2 linked regions of the Caenorhabditis elegans genome follow. The protein of the gene in region 1 purifies or fractionates together with the protein of each later gene. This does not show direct contact. Each region holds a gene or a part of one and is shown on either strand. Other genes may lie near its edges.

What was found.
Region 2: the proteins of dph-7 (region 1) and ppat-1 fractionate together in Caenorhabditis elegans (co-fractionation; one large-scale study listed by BioGRID). This does not show direct contact.

What each region holds. Positions count from the first base shown.
Region 1 is NC_003281.10:13,311,457-13,321,053, forward strand, and holds dph-7 (methylated diphthine methylhydrolase), read left to right. Parts: upstream 1-3,668; 5' UTR 3,669-3,677; coding exon 3,678-3,957; intron 3,958-4,002; coding exon 4,003-4,097; intron 4,098-5,927; coding exon 5,928-6,088; intron 6,089-6,255; coding exon 6,256-6,430; intron 6,431-6,835; coding exon 6,836-7,054; 3' UTR 7,055-7,141; downstream 7,142-9,597. Other genes in the region: slc-36.1 (Amino acid transporter transmembrane domain-containing protein), read left to right, coding at 642-747, 800-863, 1,390-1,496, 1,563-1,694; Y43F4B.10 (uncharacterized protein), read left to right, coding at 2,616-2,669, 2,730-2,872, 2,982-3,111; F53A2.11 (F-box domain-containing protein), read right to left, coding at 7,809-8,604, 9,300-9,465, 9,514-9,597.
Region 2 is NC_003281.10:4,687,308-4,694,517, forward strand, and holds ppat-1 (Amidophosphoribosyltransferase), read left to right. Parts: upstream 1-1,972; 5' UTR 1,973-2,037; coding exon 2,038-2,126; intron 2,127-2,326; exon of another isoform or gene 2,327-2,464; intron 2,465-2,750; coding exon 2,751-3,156; intron 3,157-3,202; coding exon 3,203-3,463; intron 3,464-3,698; coding exon 3,699-4,008; intron 4,009-4,056; coding exon 4,057-4,172; intron 4,173-4,467; coding exon 4,468-4,632; intron 4,633-4,676; coding exon 4,677-4,772; 3' UTR 4,773-4,864; downstream 4,865-7,210. Other genes in the region: tag-243 (Costars domain-containing protein), read right to left, coding at 874-903; nifk-1 (RRM domain-containing protein), read right to left, coding at 4,922-5,011, 5,056-5,571, 5,620-5,733, 5,779-5,982; T04A8.8 (Rad60/SUMO-like domain-containing protein), read left to right, coding at 6,698-6,959, 7,006-7,175.

The DNA.
Region 1 (9,597 bases):
AAATCGATTTTTTTCAGGTAAAATCGAACAAAATTCTTCAAAAAGCTGAAAAATTTCCGATTTCTCGTTTTTGACACAATTCAGAGAAAAATCAAAAAATTATATAACTCAAAAAATGAATTTTTTTAATTCGAAAAACGAAAAGTTGGGGAAACTGTACTTTAAAAAAGAGAAGATGTAGTATAAATATGTGGATTTTGTTTAAAATACTAAGAAAATCTCTTTAAAAGTAGAGAAATTCGCGGAAATTTCCGTAAATTCAAATTTTTTAATTTCAAAGTCAAGAAAAAACCAGTAAATTTAGCTGGGTAACGTAAAAATGCAAAAAAAAATTAAAAAAAAACATTCTTTCAATTTTTGAGACTGTTTTCTATCATTTACAGCGAAATTTTCATTCACAATATTGCTATAATTGCTTGGAACAAAAGTTTTTTTGTAAAAAAGGCAGAAATTCTTCTAACAATGCCTAAAAAATAATTTTTCAAAATTACTTTTTTAGCAATTTCAGATTCTATCAAACGATAAAATTAATGTTCACGAACTGGGGGCCATCAATAAAAAATATGTCAAAAAAAAAAATAAATAATGAAAAAATTTTTTTTTTTTTAAATCAGAATAATTTTAAAAAAATTCAATTTCAGATTCTATCAAACGATAAAATTAATGTTTGTGGCGTGCATCATGATCTCCTATCCTCTTCAATTCTATGTGCCAATGGAAAGAATCGAAAAATGGATTACTAGAAAGGTTTTTTGGAGAAATTTCCATGAAAATTGGTCAAAATTCTTCAAAATTTCAGATTCCCGTCGATAAACAAACATTGTACATCTACATTGCCAGATATTCCGGAGTTATTTTGACTTGTAAGTTTCAAAAAAAAAATATTATTCGCAAAAATTATTTTTTTTTTCATTTTCCGTTTAAAAAAATCTAAAATTGACCTAAATATCGATAATTTAAGTTTTTTTGTTGCGGAAAAATTGTGTTTCAAAAATAATAATCAAATAATAAGTTTAGAAAAAAATCATAACAAATTTAGAAAATTTTAATAAATTTTTAAACAGTTATATTTGGTAAATTGAGACTTTTTCTGACATTTTTGATCAAAAAAATAAAATAATTGGTCTAAAAATCGATAATTATACATTTATTTAAACTTTTTTCGCAGAAAATTGTGTTTCAAATCGATAATGAAATAAAAATTGAGAGAATTTCGGTAAATCCAGACTTTTTCTGAGACATTTTGGAAATATACTATAAAAATTGCACATAAAAATCAAAGGTTTTTTTTCAGGTTGATATCAAATAATTAATTTAGACGAGAAAAAAATTATATAAAAATTTAGAAAAAAACTGATTTTTTCTAATTTTTTGAAAAAAAATTTCCAGGTGCAATAGCTGAGCTTATTCCTCATTTGGCTCTTTTCATCTCATTAATCGGAGCATTTTCTGGAGCTTCAATGGCTCTTCTCTTCCCTCCGTGCATTGAACTTTTGGTAGGAATTTTTGAATTCCAATTTTTTTAAATTAATTAAAAATGAAAAAAATTGAATTTTTTTCAGACATCCTACGCGAAAAACGAGTTGAGCACTGGATTATGGATCAAAAATATCGTTCTTCTCACTTTTGCCTTTATTGGATTCACAACGGGAACCTATAGTGCACTTATCGAAATTGCAAAAACTTTTGCATAGATTTAAATATCTATAATATTTAAATATTTTCAGCGTTTTAGCTGGAAATTCCCAGAATTTTATTGCACCTTTATGGAATTTTTTGGAATTTTTTTTTGTATATTTCGTGTCCTTCCTTGTCGGTTGTTCAATTTGTGATGATGATTTTTTCATATTTTTGCGGCATTTTTTTTTCATTTTCGTTTCATTCCCGAATAACATGTACTATTTATTTTGTTAATAAAATTCGAGCTTCTGTGAATATTTTTTATCGAATTTTTTGAAATATTATTTAAATGTGGTATCAATTTTAACCAATTTATTTAAATATCTCGATTCAATTTTATATTACCCAGCCGCAAAATTTTGCAATTTTCACACTAAAAATACGGTACCCGGTCTCACAACGACAATATTTTGTTAAATACAAACGGGCGTGCACCTTTAAAGAGTACTGTAGTTTCAAACTTGTGTTGCTGCAAATCATGAAATTCCGTACGTTTCAACAAAAGTTTGAAATTACAGTACTCTTTAAAGGCGCACACCTTTTCCGCATTTAACCAATATTTGCCGTGGCGAGACCGGGAAAACCGAAAAATTGGAAAAATGTTTAGAAAATTAACAAAAAAAACTATTTTTTATCAAATTTTATTTATGTTAATGAGAACAAATCATAAGAAACAGATAGTTTTTCTCTAAAAAGAGGAAAATTATATTTTTCCAAAAATCCTTTTTTTTTTCAAAATTTCGACAAAACAAAATTGTTTGGTTTTTCGATTTCTCAAAAAAAAATATCGTAAAAATAACCGCCAAAATCCTAAAGCAAATGTGCTCCATTGAAACGTGTTTTGAAAAGAGACGCAGAGAACGGTGGTGTTCCCGTTCTCTGTATTTTTATTGATTTCTCGCAGTAATTCATTCAACCTATTTTGTTTTAGAAAAATGGCGACACAAGAAGATCTTCAAACGCTTATCTCAATTGTGCCGAATCTTCAGGTAAAATATTTAAAAAAAAATCTAAATATACAATTTTAATTGAAAAAATAATGATTTCAGATGCAAGAAGGCACTCCTTATTACGAAGTTCTGCTCAAGTTGATCGAAGAAATCGGGAAAGACGTTCGTCCAACATATACATTCAATAAGTTGACCTGTGAACGGTTGAAGAGGAATATTCAAGCGGCAAAAGTTCTGATTAGGTAGGTTTTTGAGTTTTTTCGTCGATTTTCCACTCGAATTATAAGTGTCGATCAAATATTTGATCGTCATAATCGAGAAATCAATTGAGAGAAAAAAAATCATTTGCAGAGCGTGTCAACAAGAGGCCGAAACAGACAAAAAAAAGGCAGACGCTGCGATCGAAGCACAAAGAGTTGCGCAGAAATCAGAGACTCCGAAGCCTGAAGAGACATCATCGGAGGCCGCCTCGAAGAATTAATCTTGCTTTTTTATATATGTATTTCAAATTGTATTTATTTTTACCATTCCTGCAAACTGGAAACTTTAATTTTTTTGCTATAATTTCCATCACGATCCTCATGGGTTTTAAATTATTCCCAATATTTTTTCCATGAATATGTGTCTTATTCCAATCTCAATAGTTCACCAATGTATAGACTCGAAATTTGGCGGTTTTGGAGCCAAAACGGCGGTATTTGGTCTCGACACGACAATTTTTTGGTTAAATACAAACTAGTGTGCGCCTTTAAAGAGTACTGTAATTTCAAACTTTGGTTTTTGTAAAATTTTTATCGATTTCTTAACGTTATTCGTTAAAATAATACTTTATTTCTAAAAAACTGAAAATTCGATGAAAATTCCACATCACGAAAAATTTTGGAATTACAGTACTCTTTAAAAGCGCACACCTTTTCGCATTTAACAACAAATTGTTTCGTGTCGAGACCGGACACCGTATTTTTGACGAAAAATTGAAACATTTTACGTTTGAAAACCGCATTTTTAGTAAATTTTCAAAATTACAAATTTTTTGAGCTCATTTAAATGCGATCAAAAAGTGTGAAGCTGTCAAATCGCCCAGCATTTGCTCGTCGGATACCATCAGAGGACACATCACGTGCTTGCGTATCCACGTATCTTCTCGATACATCTTCAGACACTCGATCCGGCTCACTGTGCATTTTGAAGATTGATGAAGCCGACGGGCTACAGTTGGAAAATGAGATTAGCACTTCTGCTGGAGTGTTTCGATTCGATTTCCGAAATCCGTCGACGATAGTTGCAGCGCTAACCGATGGATCACTAGTGGTTCAGAAAATTGAAGGTTTGAATTGTGCCTGAGATTTCAAATGAGCAGGACGATTTTCAGAACCTGTATCATCCGAAACTACACCTGTATCGTCGGATATGCTTTTGGATTTGGGACTTTCGGATTCTTCCCTCACTATTACAACTGACAACAAAGTACTGTGATCTCGCCGGTATTATAGTAGTAGTGGTGCAAAGCACCACCAGAAGGGCGCCATGGGCGTCCATGCCTCAGTGAGTTCCTCCAGGGTAGTAGTAGTAGTAGTGGTGCAAAGCACCGCGATGGATCCGTGGAGGTCCTTGGATCATTGAGATCCGCCTGGATCGAAAGTTCTGGTGGGGAGGCCCAGTGCCTCTGCCACCTTTTTCGGAGTGAGCGGGGGTTGGATAGAACATCTCAGCATGTGTTCCACATTCCCTGTGACATCGCCACACTTCTTGCAGGCTGGCACCGTGTCGTTGTTGATTCTCGCGAAATAGCTTGGGACCATGGTTGAGTGACCGCATCTGATTCTGGCTAGCTCCACTCTTGTTCCTCGCGGCAAGGAGCTTTCCTCACCATTTATGGCGGGGGCAGGGCGTCCAAGTACGTTGTTCGGCTTCTTGCTGTTTAGGAAGTTTTTGATGAAGGTTCGGTGGTTGGACTTCTGAATGGCCTTGGTCGTTGAGCGGGGATTTGTCCAGGCATTGGTGGTGCTGCTCGGATAGTCTAACGGCGGCTCTCTGGGCCTGTTGGTCGTCCTCTCAAGGGGTCTTCTTGCCTTTAGGTCTTTGGATGGGTGGCCAGGGGTGTTCAGTGCTGCAATTGCAAATTGCTGCTTGCGGAGCTCAATTTCCTCGCGAAGAGGAAGCCTCTCCGTTTCCTCATAGATGTGCTGAGTCGGAGAATCACTGGTGAGACCACTGCAGGTGCGGAGGGTCGAATATTTTGGTGGGGAGGCCCAGGGCCTCAGCCACCGTTTTCGGATCCGACCACAATTTTGATGGCGTTAGCGGGGGTTGGGTTGAGCATCCCAACAAGTGTGCCACATTTCCTCTTTGATCGCCACATTTCCCACAGGTCGGTATCGCGAAGTAGCCGGGTACCATCGTGGAATGTCCACATCTCAGCCTTGCTAGCTCCACTCTGCTTCACCCTTGGTAGTGATTTCTCTTCCTCGGCCACCGCTGGGGCAGGGGTGCCCAGCACGTTGTTCACCGGTTTCTTGTTCAGAAATTCCTGCACGAATTTCCTATGGTTTGCTTTCTGGATGGCCTTGGTGGTCATTTGAGGAATTTGCCAGTTGCTCGTGGTGTTGCTAGGGTAATCTAACGGAGGCTCCCTTGGCCTATTTGACGCTCTTTCCGTCGGCCTTCTGAGCTTTAAGTCTTTGGATGGATGTCCTGGCGTATTTATTGACGAAATCTGGAATTGTTGTCTTCTAAGCTCAATTTCTTCTCTCAGGGGCAATCTGGTCGCTTCCTCGTAGATATGGTGTGCTGGGGTGTCACTTGTGAGGCCGCAGCAAGTTCTCAGAACTGCTCTGTAGGCGTTATTATCAAGCCAAGTGGTGCCACGCTGTCCCATGACGGTTTGATCTACAAAAAATGCGGGAATTTTATCCAAAAAAAAAATGACGTCAGCACGTTCTTAACTACGCGAAATCAGTTGAGAACCCGCATTTTTTGTAGATCTCCGTATATCAAGTCAAAATGAGACACTCTGACACCACGTGGAGCTCCAGAGACGCAGAACAACGCGCAAGTGCGCTCTACTGCCAAGAATTGGGTCCCAATAGGTAATGGCGGCAAAACCTTAATTTCGAAAAATCACATTAAAAACTGAATTTTACATCAATTTTGTGTCAGAAAATATGTATTTTTGTTGTTTTTTTTTGGCGCCAATACCTAACGAGACCCAGAGGCGGAGCGTTCTCATTTCGCTGTGGAGCGCGCTTGCCCATTTAAACGTTTTTTTCTCTATTTTTTGAAATCAGTTCATTTCAGGGCCACGCGTACATCGTCGACCTGAACACATCACTCATCGTTTCCACGTGGCTTGCTCATTCGCTTCCGTACGTTCCTGGTGAAGGATGTGAAGTATGGTCTTGTGCGATCAGCAAAGATGCTCAGACAGTTGTAACTGGCGGAGAGGACGGATCAATGAAGTAGGTTTGAAGGAAAAACCAATTTTCTATTTGAATTCCCTCCAAAATGAGAACTGCAAACCAATCAGAAGGGGTGGGCGGAGCAAATCGCTGATTGGTCCTGCAGTTCTCATTTTGGAGGGAATTCAAAATTCAAACAGAGGGGTTTTAAATCTTCAAATTTTCAGACTCTGGGATGCTCGCAGCCGAACTCAAACCGGTCAATCAAAAATTTTCGAAGCCGGTGTTGTTTTTGTTGATTTCCCGGCTTCGAACGAAGATCAAATTCTAACTGGAAGCTATGACGAGCACGTCCGGATTTTCGATCGAAGGAATTTAAAAACTGTGCTCAAAGAGAAAAAGGTATGATATATTATGGGAGCATAATATTCTGAGAGTGCGTGTTGCACAACATATTTGACGCGCAAAATATCTCGTAAAAAAACTACTGTAGCTCTTGTGTCGATTTACGGGCTCGATTTTCTCGTAAATCGACACCAGCGCTACGAGATATTCGCGCGTCAAATATGTTGCGAAATACGCAACCTCAGAATTTCGAAAAATTGAACACTATCTGTGCCACGTGCAGGATCTCATATCGCCACGTGTCACCAGATTCTACGTATTCAAAATAAAAAATCCAGGCCTTTCAGGTGCGAATCGACTTTATTTTACCGTCCTTCGCGTTTATAGACCTAACAATTTATTGGTTATTTTGAAAATTTCCCCTAAATTTAACGAGAAATTTAAATTATTTTCCAATTACAGCTCTCTGGTGGAGTTTGGAACATTGAACAAGTTGGCTCAGAGTACTGTACTTCCTGCATGTACGGTGGCTACAGTATTCTGAATTCGGACACTCTCGATATTGTCCACGAGAATCGGGATGTTGGATCGAATCTTCTGTATGGAGCAACAAAAATGTCCGCGAATTCGGTGCTCTTTTGTACTTTTAATGATTATTTGGCTGTTTTAGACGAGTATTGATGAAAAATGTTGAACGCCGGTGAATTTGTTAAATTAGTGATTTTTTGCTTGTTGAATTTAATATAATAATAAAAATTGCGTTTACAGAATTTATACCTTAGTTGGAATTTTTACAAGATGAGGGTGTTAATAATAACAAAAAAATTGTACAGCAACTTTCGCGATTTTTGCGCGAAAAGTACGGTGTCCTGGTCTCGAAACGAGAATTTTTTGCTAAATGCGAAAAGGTGTGCGCCTTTAAAGAGTACTGTATTTTCGAACTTTCGTTGCTGTGGAATTTTTATCGATTTTTCATAGATTTGTTGAGTATTTCCTTTTTTTATAACAAACAAATAGATTTTCAAAAAAAAATTATGAAAAATCGATGAAACCTCTGTGCAGCAGCAAAACTTCGAAGCTACAGTACTCCTTGAAGGCACACGCGCGTGCTGAGACCGTGCAACAATCGCAAAGCTTTGCGTGTGGGTAATATCTGCATTTATTTTTAAAAAAAGTTTATACATTAATTGAGCAATTTTCGGAAAGTTTCAGAAAAAGTTGGGGTAAAGAATTTATAAATTAATTTTAGATAAATCGTTGGCCGAATTGGGCTTTTCTAGGCCAAGTATTTAAAAACAGTAAACTAATCAATTAAATGTTTGAAATGCATTAAAAATCCAGTATTCATCATTCCATCGTGTTCCTTGAAAAACTTCTTCAAATAACGTCGTTGGTAGAAAAGTTGAAAGTCAATTTTCCGATTATTGGTAGAGTTTCACAAACGGAACATCTTTCCATACCAGACAGTTACACATCCAAAAGGGCTTTTAATGGTTTCTTTTGGAATATTGAGAATTTCATCGAGATACCAACAATGTTCAGGTTGTTCTCCTACGAGACGTGCGCTTGAATTGAAAATGTGTGGGACTTTTATCGGAATTCTATCGTCTTCTTCATAGTACAATTTAAATGTGACACTTCCATTTCGCTGTTGATTTTGCTCAGTCAACCTAATAAACTTTGCAAAGACTTTGTGCATATTTTCAGGAGCAATTAGAACATTCGTCTCAGAAAGTTTCACAATCATATTCCTGCTTGGGAAGGCCCTTTGAACATTTGCAATTATATTATCATATGGTGAATAATAGTCATAATCCAACTGATCTTCAATGGTAAGTAGAATATCATCCGTGTATTGTAACTTAATTTCCACACTTTCCAATAAATTAGCAGAAACTGGTTCAATGTTCCATGGTGCAACAAACTGAATATTCACTGGATTCTTGAAATTTTCTGGGCACTCGTGAAATTTTTCTGCCATAACATTGTGCGCTCCGAATCGAAAATTAAGGTTAACATTCTTTGCATTCCAGTTCGAAACAGCCTGATGTGTTATTGTTCTCGGCAGTGAGACAATATCTTTGCCATATAGAATGAATGTGAGTGTATCACATGTAATGGGCATTTTAAGAAAGCGATTTATCGGGAAATACACCATTTCTTCATCTTCTTCATCAGTATATATTCGACGCACTTCAAATTTGTCAGCATTCACTATTCCGTGTAGGTGCCTGAAAAAAACTTACAGTGCTGGTCAAATAATTTGTCGAATTATTCAAATGAGCTACTTCAAAACTAGGAACAATATTCTTTAAAAAGTTCAGCTAACAAAAAAATTACATTATTCGTTCGTTTTCATGTTTATTTAATTTTTAATTTTCATTTTGGTCACAGGGAAAATTGAAAAAAAACGCGATCAGCGGATTCTGGGGTAACTGTTTAAAGCTCCTTCTATGATGCTAAAATTAAATTTTCAGAGGGAAACAACGCCCTAAGTTGACAAGGTGCTGCCAAAGTCGTCATAGCAAATATTAGTTAAAATATCAAACGCAAAAACGGGGATTTTGTTAATTTTTTTCATCTTTTCCTCTGTTTAATAATTTTTTAAAATCTTTTTTCCTTTAAAAATTGTTTCAATTTTGATTTTTTTTTTATTGCTGCGTTGCTGATTTCAAAAATAACTCGTTGAAAAAGGCTACATCATGAGTTATTTCGAATAATTTTAACTGATAAAATACTTTCAAAATATTTCTCTAAATGTTGATTGCTGAGCACTGTTTGACAAATTTAAATTAAAAACAGCCGAAGTATATATAAACCTGTCAATTAGAGCAAGTGAATTCTAATAGGGAAAATACGGTAACTCAGTTAGTTTTAGATAACTTGGAATATCAGCGCTGTGAAGAATATGAACCAAAAAACTAACGGCTCAGCGACTTCGAAAACGTCAAAATTAAGTAGTTGTGATCCATGTAAATCTACACCTTCCTGCATTCCAAACCGGATGCAATGCCTGGCAATCCTCTCGGCTTTTAAGTCCCAACCATAATAACTTAAATCAAACATTCCCGTGAATTCCCTTATTCTGTCTTCTGTATTTAAAAAAATGTTGATAGTTTTTTGATAACCGCGAAACTCACCGTTAGATCCTATCAATTCTTTGAGAATTAAACGGTGTAATTGAAATTGTACAACTTTGTCAAAATGTTCAATTTGAACTTGTA
Region 2 (7,210 bases), 8.6 Mb from region 1:
AAAGAGATACGAGCAGCTAAAGATGATTTTTCTTTTCTTTTTTTCTAAAAAAAATCACAACGAGACCAGCTGACTAGAAATAATTTGTTCTGGAAGGTTGATACTTGTTTATCAGGCTTTCAATTTATCAAGTGTCCACTTGAACGTTTCATATATTTTTGGTTATTTGTTAATTTAAAATGAGCTTATATAATCACATAAATATTTTTAAAAATTAATTTGGCAAATGGAAATTTTCTAAAAAAAAATGAATGAATTTTATACGACCTATGAGTTTTTATGAGTTTTGGAACGACTCCCAGACTTTGTTAGGCACGTTTGTATTTCAATGAACTTGTTCTTAAAAAATTTATTACGCGCATCTAGTCTGAAACTATGTGCACACCAGTAGGCCAGTAGGCAGATATCGGGTTGAAAACAGCGAGGAAGGCTGTCGGGTGAACTTGTCCGCCTGATTTGGACTACTTTTTTTTTAAAGCAGAGCTAGAGAAATTATAATAAAATTCAAGAAAAATGTATAGACCTAACAAATGGGAAATCAAGCGTCGGAAAAATTTAAGAAACCACTATTGATGAAACCCATAGCAAAGATTTTTGCGGCAAGGAAGCATAGAATTTAAAAAAAAATTTAAAAACTACTTCTAAACTAGAATACTTTTCCCATTAATATGAGTGGTTGAATCTTGATTAAATATGTGACATATAAGTCACCACAAAATTGAGCAAATACTCAAAACTACTTAATAGTTTTGTGAGTCACTTTTATAAACGTTCAAAACTTTCTTCAAAAATAATTTTCAAGTTCACCTATGTACCTTTAATATTTTCTAATTTACAAAAATCTAAACGAATATAAAAATGGATTAAACTTACATTTTGTTCTTCCACTGATTGACTTGGCATTTTCTTGAGCAACTTCTTTTTTCAGTAAAACAAATTTCAGATATGTGTGCTTAACTTTCAAAAGATATATCCTTGACTGTCTCCTTATTTTTTGAGCAATTTTGATAAGTTTAGCCAAAAAGTAAGTGGGCGCTCATTTTCGCGACAATCTTTGCTGTCTGCGTCTCTTCGTCTCACGTGCAATTTCGCTGTTCAAATATAAAACAATGCACACACATACAGAAAGGCTATTTTTGACAGGGAGCTCAAGTAAAATGGAGAAAAGCGAAGTTGTTCGGAAATTTTTTGAAATTCAAAAACCTAATGTCAACTTGTAAATACAACTGGGTGGTCAATGTTCAATAACAAACAGAGGGATATTTTGATTTTTGAATTGTGTTGGAATTTCAAAGAACGAAAACCATTTTACCAATTCAGATATTAACAGGAAAGTATGTAAAGAATATTTTCGAAGTCCATATTGACAGTTGATAACTGTTGACGTGGGTGAACCTGACCAAGCACATACATCCGCAAAGTTGGGACGGACGGGCTCTACGGAGTCCAAGTGACAACAATATCTACTTTCTAGACACAACATGACACTCTAAAAAAATCTGCTCAAATAAATTGAAGTTGGCAGAAAAAAAAAAATTTTACAGAAAAATGTTGTCAGAAAGTTGCAAAAGTTTGATAACATACTCACAAACCTTTTTCAAACAGGAATTTCATTAGATTCAGTATTACATTTTAAAATTAAACTCTCCAGATTTCCATGCATCTGCTGCGAAAGTAAATTACAGATTCTGAAAGCCGAAGATTTTAGCTCTCGCGCCAGGTTAAGTTTTATTTCATTCACATCTTATAGTTATCGTATTCCCGAGCAACGTGTTTATTTTCAATTAAACCTAAAAACTCCTTTTAAAATCAAACTTCAATTAGACATTCACTTGTTCTTATCAGCGGAAAAAGTTCAAAAACCTGGCTCTATCGACAGAAGTGAACTTTTCCATGAAAAATAGGCAATAACTTTAAAAACATAGCAGGTGGAGGGTGTAAAGGTTTTATGATTGGCGTATCAAACATTCAGAGCATCGAAAAAGATAATAACATGCACATTAGGCAATTGATTTCTGACGACGATCACACCGAACAATGTGTGGTATATTTGGGATTGTTGCCGCTGGAAATTATGAGCATTTGAATGTTCTTGCTGCAAATGGATTGGCTGCTCTTCAACACAGGTGGGGTTTTAAGTTTAAATTTTTAATAAGCTCTGTCTCAAAAAGTTTGATTTCATACATCTCCTACATTGGTTTCAGTTTGAATTTTTAACTGTTCAGCTCCTCATTCCTAAATATCTAATTTTTCAAAAAGCTCTCGTTTTCTCTTCCCGTTCATTCCGCTTCTGCTTAACTTAAGCCATCGTTCCACAAGAAGGCAAAAGTGTAAACTCCCTAATTGTATCCGAGCCAGTTTAGTCTGACTAGACGTCAATGGAGAAGTTATCAATTTTGCGTCAGAAATACGCTGAATCGCCAACATTAGAATCACGTTGCCAATTGGATGAAAATGACGCGTATGTAGAGATTGAACTGGCGTCTCGTGGGTCACAGCAAACAGCGCTAACCACTCGGACACACGACCAATAAAGTGCTTGTAGCGTTGCAGTGGTTGACATTGTTGCAAACAAGTAGATTGTGCAGTGATTTTGAGTTTGCAAAAAATCGAAATAGCTAAATGAATAAGTCTAGCATTTCTTGCAAATATTGTCTAGTTTCTAAATTGTTTTCCGTGCGTGATAGAAAAATAAAATACTAAAACAAATTAGTTGCAAATTTGCAATTCTTATCATGTATATTTTGCAGAGGAACTGAATCAACAGGACTCGTTGGTTCAGATGGAATCACTCGAGACCACGTGGAAATTATCAAAGGTCATGGACTTGTCCGAGATGTGATTACTGAAGATAATATCTCAAGAATGAATGGGCAATCGATAATAATTGGTCATAATAGGTATTCAACTGCAGGAAAGAAGAAGTCTGGAATCAATTGTGTACAACCATTTGTGGTATATACTGCAATGGGTACTGTAGCAATTGCTCATAATGGAGAATTGGTTGATGCGAAACAAAAAAGAAAGGAAGTACTTCATGAAGGTGTTGGTTTATCAACTGACACTGACTCAGAGCTTATTGCTCAAATGATTGCAAAAGCGATTGCTCTGAATGTAAAATGCAAGTATGGACAAGAGATGGGTGATATTACAAGAGTGAGTTTTTGAAAAACATGAAAATTCTTAAACCAAAAAACTTCAGGAGCTCGCAGTAACAATGTCTGCACTAAACATGTCATATTCTCTACTAGTAATGACATTTGATAGACTATACGCAATTCGTGATCCATTTGGAAATCGTCCACTTTGTGTTGGTACTGTATATTCTAAAAATGGAAATCCAGAAGCATTCATTGCATCTTCTGAATCTTGTGCATTTCCTGCAAATGCTAAATTAGATTTCGAAGTGAGACCAGGAGAAATTGTGGAATTATCGACAGGAGGAATCAAGTCGGTGTGGCAGGTAAACTTACATATATCTTGGCCTGCCTACGCGCCTACCTACCGCCTTCTCTGACCTCATTTTCTCATGTATGTATTTTGTTAGACATTAAAATTTAAAAAAGTGTTTTTAAAGTTTTGCAAATACATGTAGTTTTTAGACTTTCTGGTTATTTTTGGTATTTTCCAAAATTACAATCGAGACAGATGGGCTATGCTGAAAAATCAGAAACCTGGAATTATATGAGTCATTTCAGATGAAACCGAATACTCCTCTGGCTATGTGCATATTCGAATATGTCTATTTTGCACGAAATGATTCAGAAATTGAAGGACAACAAGTACAAACTGTTCGTGAAGAATGTGGAAAAACGATGGCTCTTGAAGATGATCTAGAAGCAGATATTGTTGGAAATGTTCCAGATTCTTCGCTGAGTGCAGCAATTGGATACGCTTCTCAGTCTGGAATCACATATGAACCTGTTTTACACAGAAATTCATATGTTGGAAGATCATTTATAGAACCAAATGATGAGATGAGACAAAATGCGATTAAAATGAAATTTGGTAAAATAAAGAAAACTATTTAGAAAGACTTCATGAATTCTATTTCAGGAGTATTGAAGAAAAAGATTCATGGACAAAGGATTGTGTTAGTAGATGATTCAATTGTACGTGGAAATACGATGAGAACTTTGGTAAAAATGTTAAGAGATGCTGGAGCAAAAGAGGTATTACCCTTGTTGTTAAAAATAATGATTTTTCACCTTATAAACCGTGAAAAAGGTCTTGACACGAGCAAAAATTTTCAGCTACCGTATAACGCGAGTAATTCTCCGTTTTTGCAGATTTTTCCAATACATATATTTGTTGTAAAACTGTGCATCTAGATGTTCAGCAAATATTAAGAAAACAATAGCGGAATACATAAAAACGAGAAACTGGAGTATACGGTAGAGTACGGTATCTTAGAAATTTCGATCGTGTCAAGACCGCATTATTCAAATAATACCTCTAAATTTAAAGGTTCATCTACGAATTGCTTCCCCGCCTGTAAAATTCCCATGTTTTATGGGAATCAACATTCCAACCACAAAGGAATTGATTGCTGCCGAAAAAACAATTCCAGAAATCTGCCAATTTGTTGGAGCCGATTCAGTACGGTATCTTTCGGTTGACGGTTTAGTTTCGGTGAGTTTGAACCTCACTTTCTCCTCAATTTAATTTTTTTTCAGTCTGTTCAAAAAGGAATCGAACGAGCTGCCAACTTCTCTCCAGGACATTGCACCGCATGTCTCACTGGAAAATATCCAGTTGCTATCGATTTATAATTAGTGTTTGAAAAGTTTGAATAGATTATTTGTATTCATGAAAAACAAAATCAATTCAATTAAAAATCAACAATGAATGTGTATAAAAATAAGAACAACAACAGTTTGCGGAAAAAAAATAAAATGATTAACAACAGAAATCAGGACGCTTACAAGCTCTTCTTCTTTCCACGAGATCTCAATGTTTTCTTTTCGACAGCAGCTGGACGGGCACTTGCAGCGACGGATTTGAGGATTGTCTGGAAAATTAATATAACCAAATTTTATTTAAAGTTTTTCGTACGTTGGATAGCGTAGATTTAGCCTGTGGAGTAGCAGCAGCAGCTGCCTTCTTTCCTGCGCGAGTTTTTGGAGTGAACTGTTTGGGTTCCGGCTTTTCAGTTTTAGGAGTCTTGATGACAACCTTTTTGGTGACTGGAGTGGAAACTTTCGGAGTTGCTTGTTTTGGAGTCACGGCCTTTGGAGTAGCTGCTTTTGGAGTTGCAGCTTTCACAATTTTCGGAGTCGTGCTTTTCGGGGTGACATCACTGATAAATTGAACCTCATTGTCAATGACCTTCTTAAGTGGCGTTCTTGGTGTTCCAGACACAGAGAAATCATAGTTGATCCCCATATTCTGCAGCTTCTTCAAAGTTTTGTTGAGATTTTGCACGCGTTTCTTGGCATTGATGACGTCATTTTTTCCGGTGGTATTGTTTCTGGCAATTGTATCTTTTTTAGCGATGCCCAAGTAAGATGGACGCATCACAAGCAGTGGGCCATGGCGCATTGCCTTCGGGATAAGTTCTGGTTTCATCACCTAAATTTAATAAGTTTTTCAAGGATATAATGGTAGAAGTTGACCTACCGTGCACCCGAGACGTTGCTCGAACATCAAGTAACCGTTCATTGATTCGGCAGCGATTTCAGCAACAGCCTTGTTGTCGAATCCAACGTACGCCCATCCCTTATGATTACCAGTCTAAAATAATGATTTAATACTATATTAACAGGTTGCTGAACCTACGCGTCTGTTTCTGGCCACACGAATTCTCAACACATTTCCGAACTGACGGAAATACCCGAGCAACTCCTTCTCGAAGAATCCAAACGGAATACGCTTAATCTTGACAACATAAATTTTCTTCAGCTGCTTTTTTTGGACTTTGTCTTGCTTCTGAGGTTGCTTGCGTCCTCCAGAACTGATCGAAGTTGGATTCTGGGCAACCATTGTGTCTGAGATCTGAAAAATGTGTATATTTCGTGCAATAAAAATTTTCAAAACAATATTTTGCAAATTATAAGAGTTTTCAGCTGTTCAAACATGAAAAATCAGGAAATAAGGTAGAAAAATTAGCTTTAAAATTTTGTGAGGGACAAAAGCAGTGTTACTGGCGCGTTTCTTCGTTGACGCAGTTTCCGTGCAAGGCGCATGTTTCGTGCTGAAGCGCACGCACACAAACATTTTTGTTGTTTCGTCGCATTTCTAAACTTTTTCATCCAATCAACCGATTTTTGATCTCTTATTCTTATCACGAAGGTCAATTATTATTCTAAACGGTTTAGACAATAAATACATACTTTCTATTTTCAAAACTCCAATCAGTTCCTACTTAACTTTTCGCTTTTATTCACTGCCTAATATCAGAGGTAGTTATGTACCGAGACGTAAAATTGTTCAATGTTTTTTAAAGTGTTTATATTTATCCTCTCTGTTCGACTCGTCGATCATTGAGTTTCGATGCGTTCTTTCTTAAATAATTACATTTCAAAACAACATTAACGTCTTTCCCGAAAAAGTCATTCTCCTTTTTGCTGTTTTTTAGATGCATTCATTTTTGTGTAGTGATTAATGATTCCCTTTCAATATTTCCAGATTCAATCGTGATATCGTTTTGATCTATGTTAGCATAAATAATCGTTTCCAATTTAGTTTATTTTTAGGAATGAGTGATTCGGACGACAATGCCTACAGCGATTATTTGGGAAATCGAAGAGCTGCTCTCCAAAAGAAGCGACAACCGGTACGAGTTTGTGAGAGCGACGACTCAGACGACGATTTCGATACCAGCGGTCCATCGCCAATGAGAAAAAAGACGCGGGAAACCCAACTCTTTCCGGACGACTCGGATGATGATGAATGCGTTGAAGTAGAGAAAGAAACATACTCCCAAAAAGTCAGACACGAAATTGATGATGTAGAAGAAGGTTAGTGTTATCATACTTTTTTATACAGCTCATACAAATATTTTAGCTTATCGTCGATCTATTTACAAGCGAGAGACCGTTATTCACGCACCAGTCGAGAAAAACAATGTTATTAGTGGACTGTTGAAAATCTGTGAAGGTTGGGACGAAGCTGCAAAATCAGGAGCACAACCGGAGGTTGAAGATGTGAAAGACGACTCAGACGCGGATGAATCAGTGAGAGGAAAAATTGTTTTTTTCTTAAATTTTGC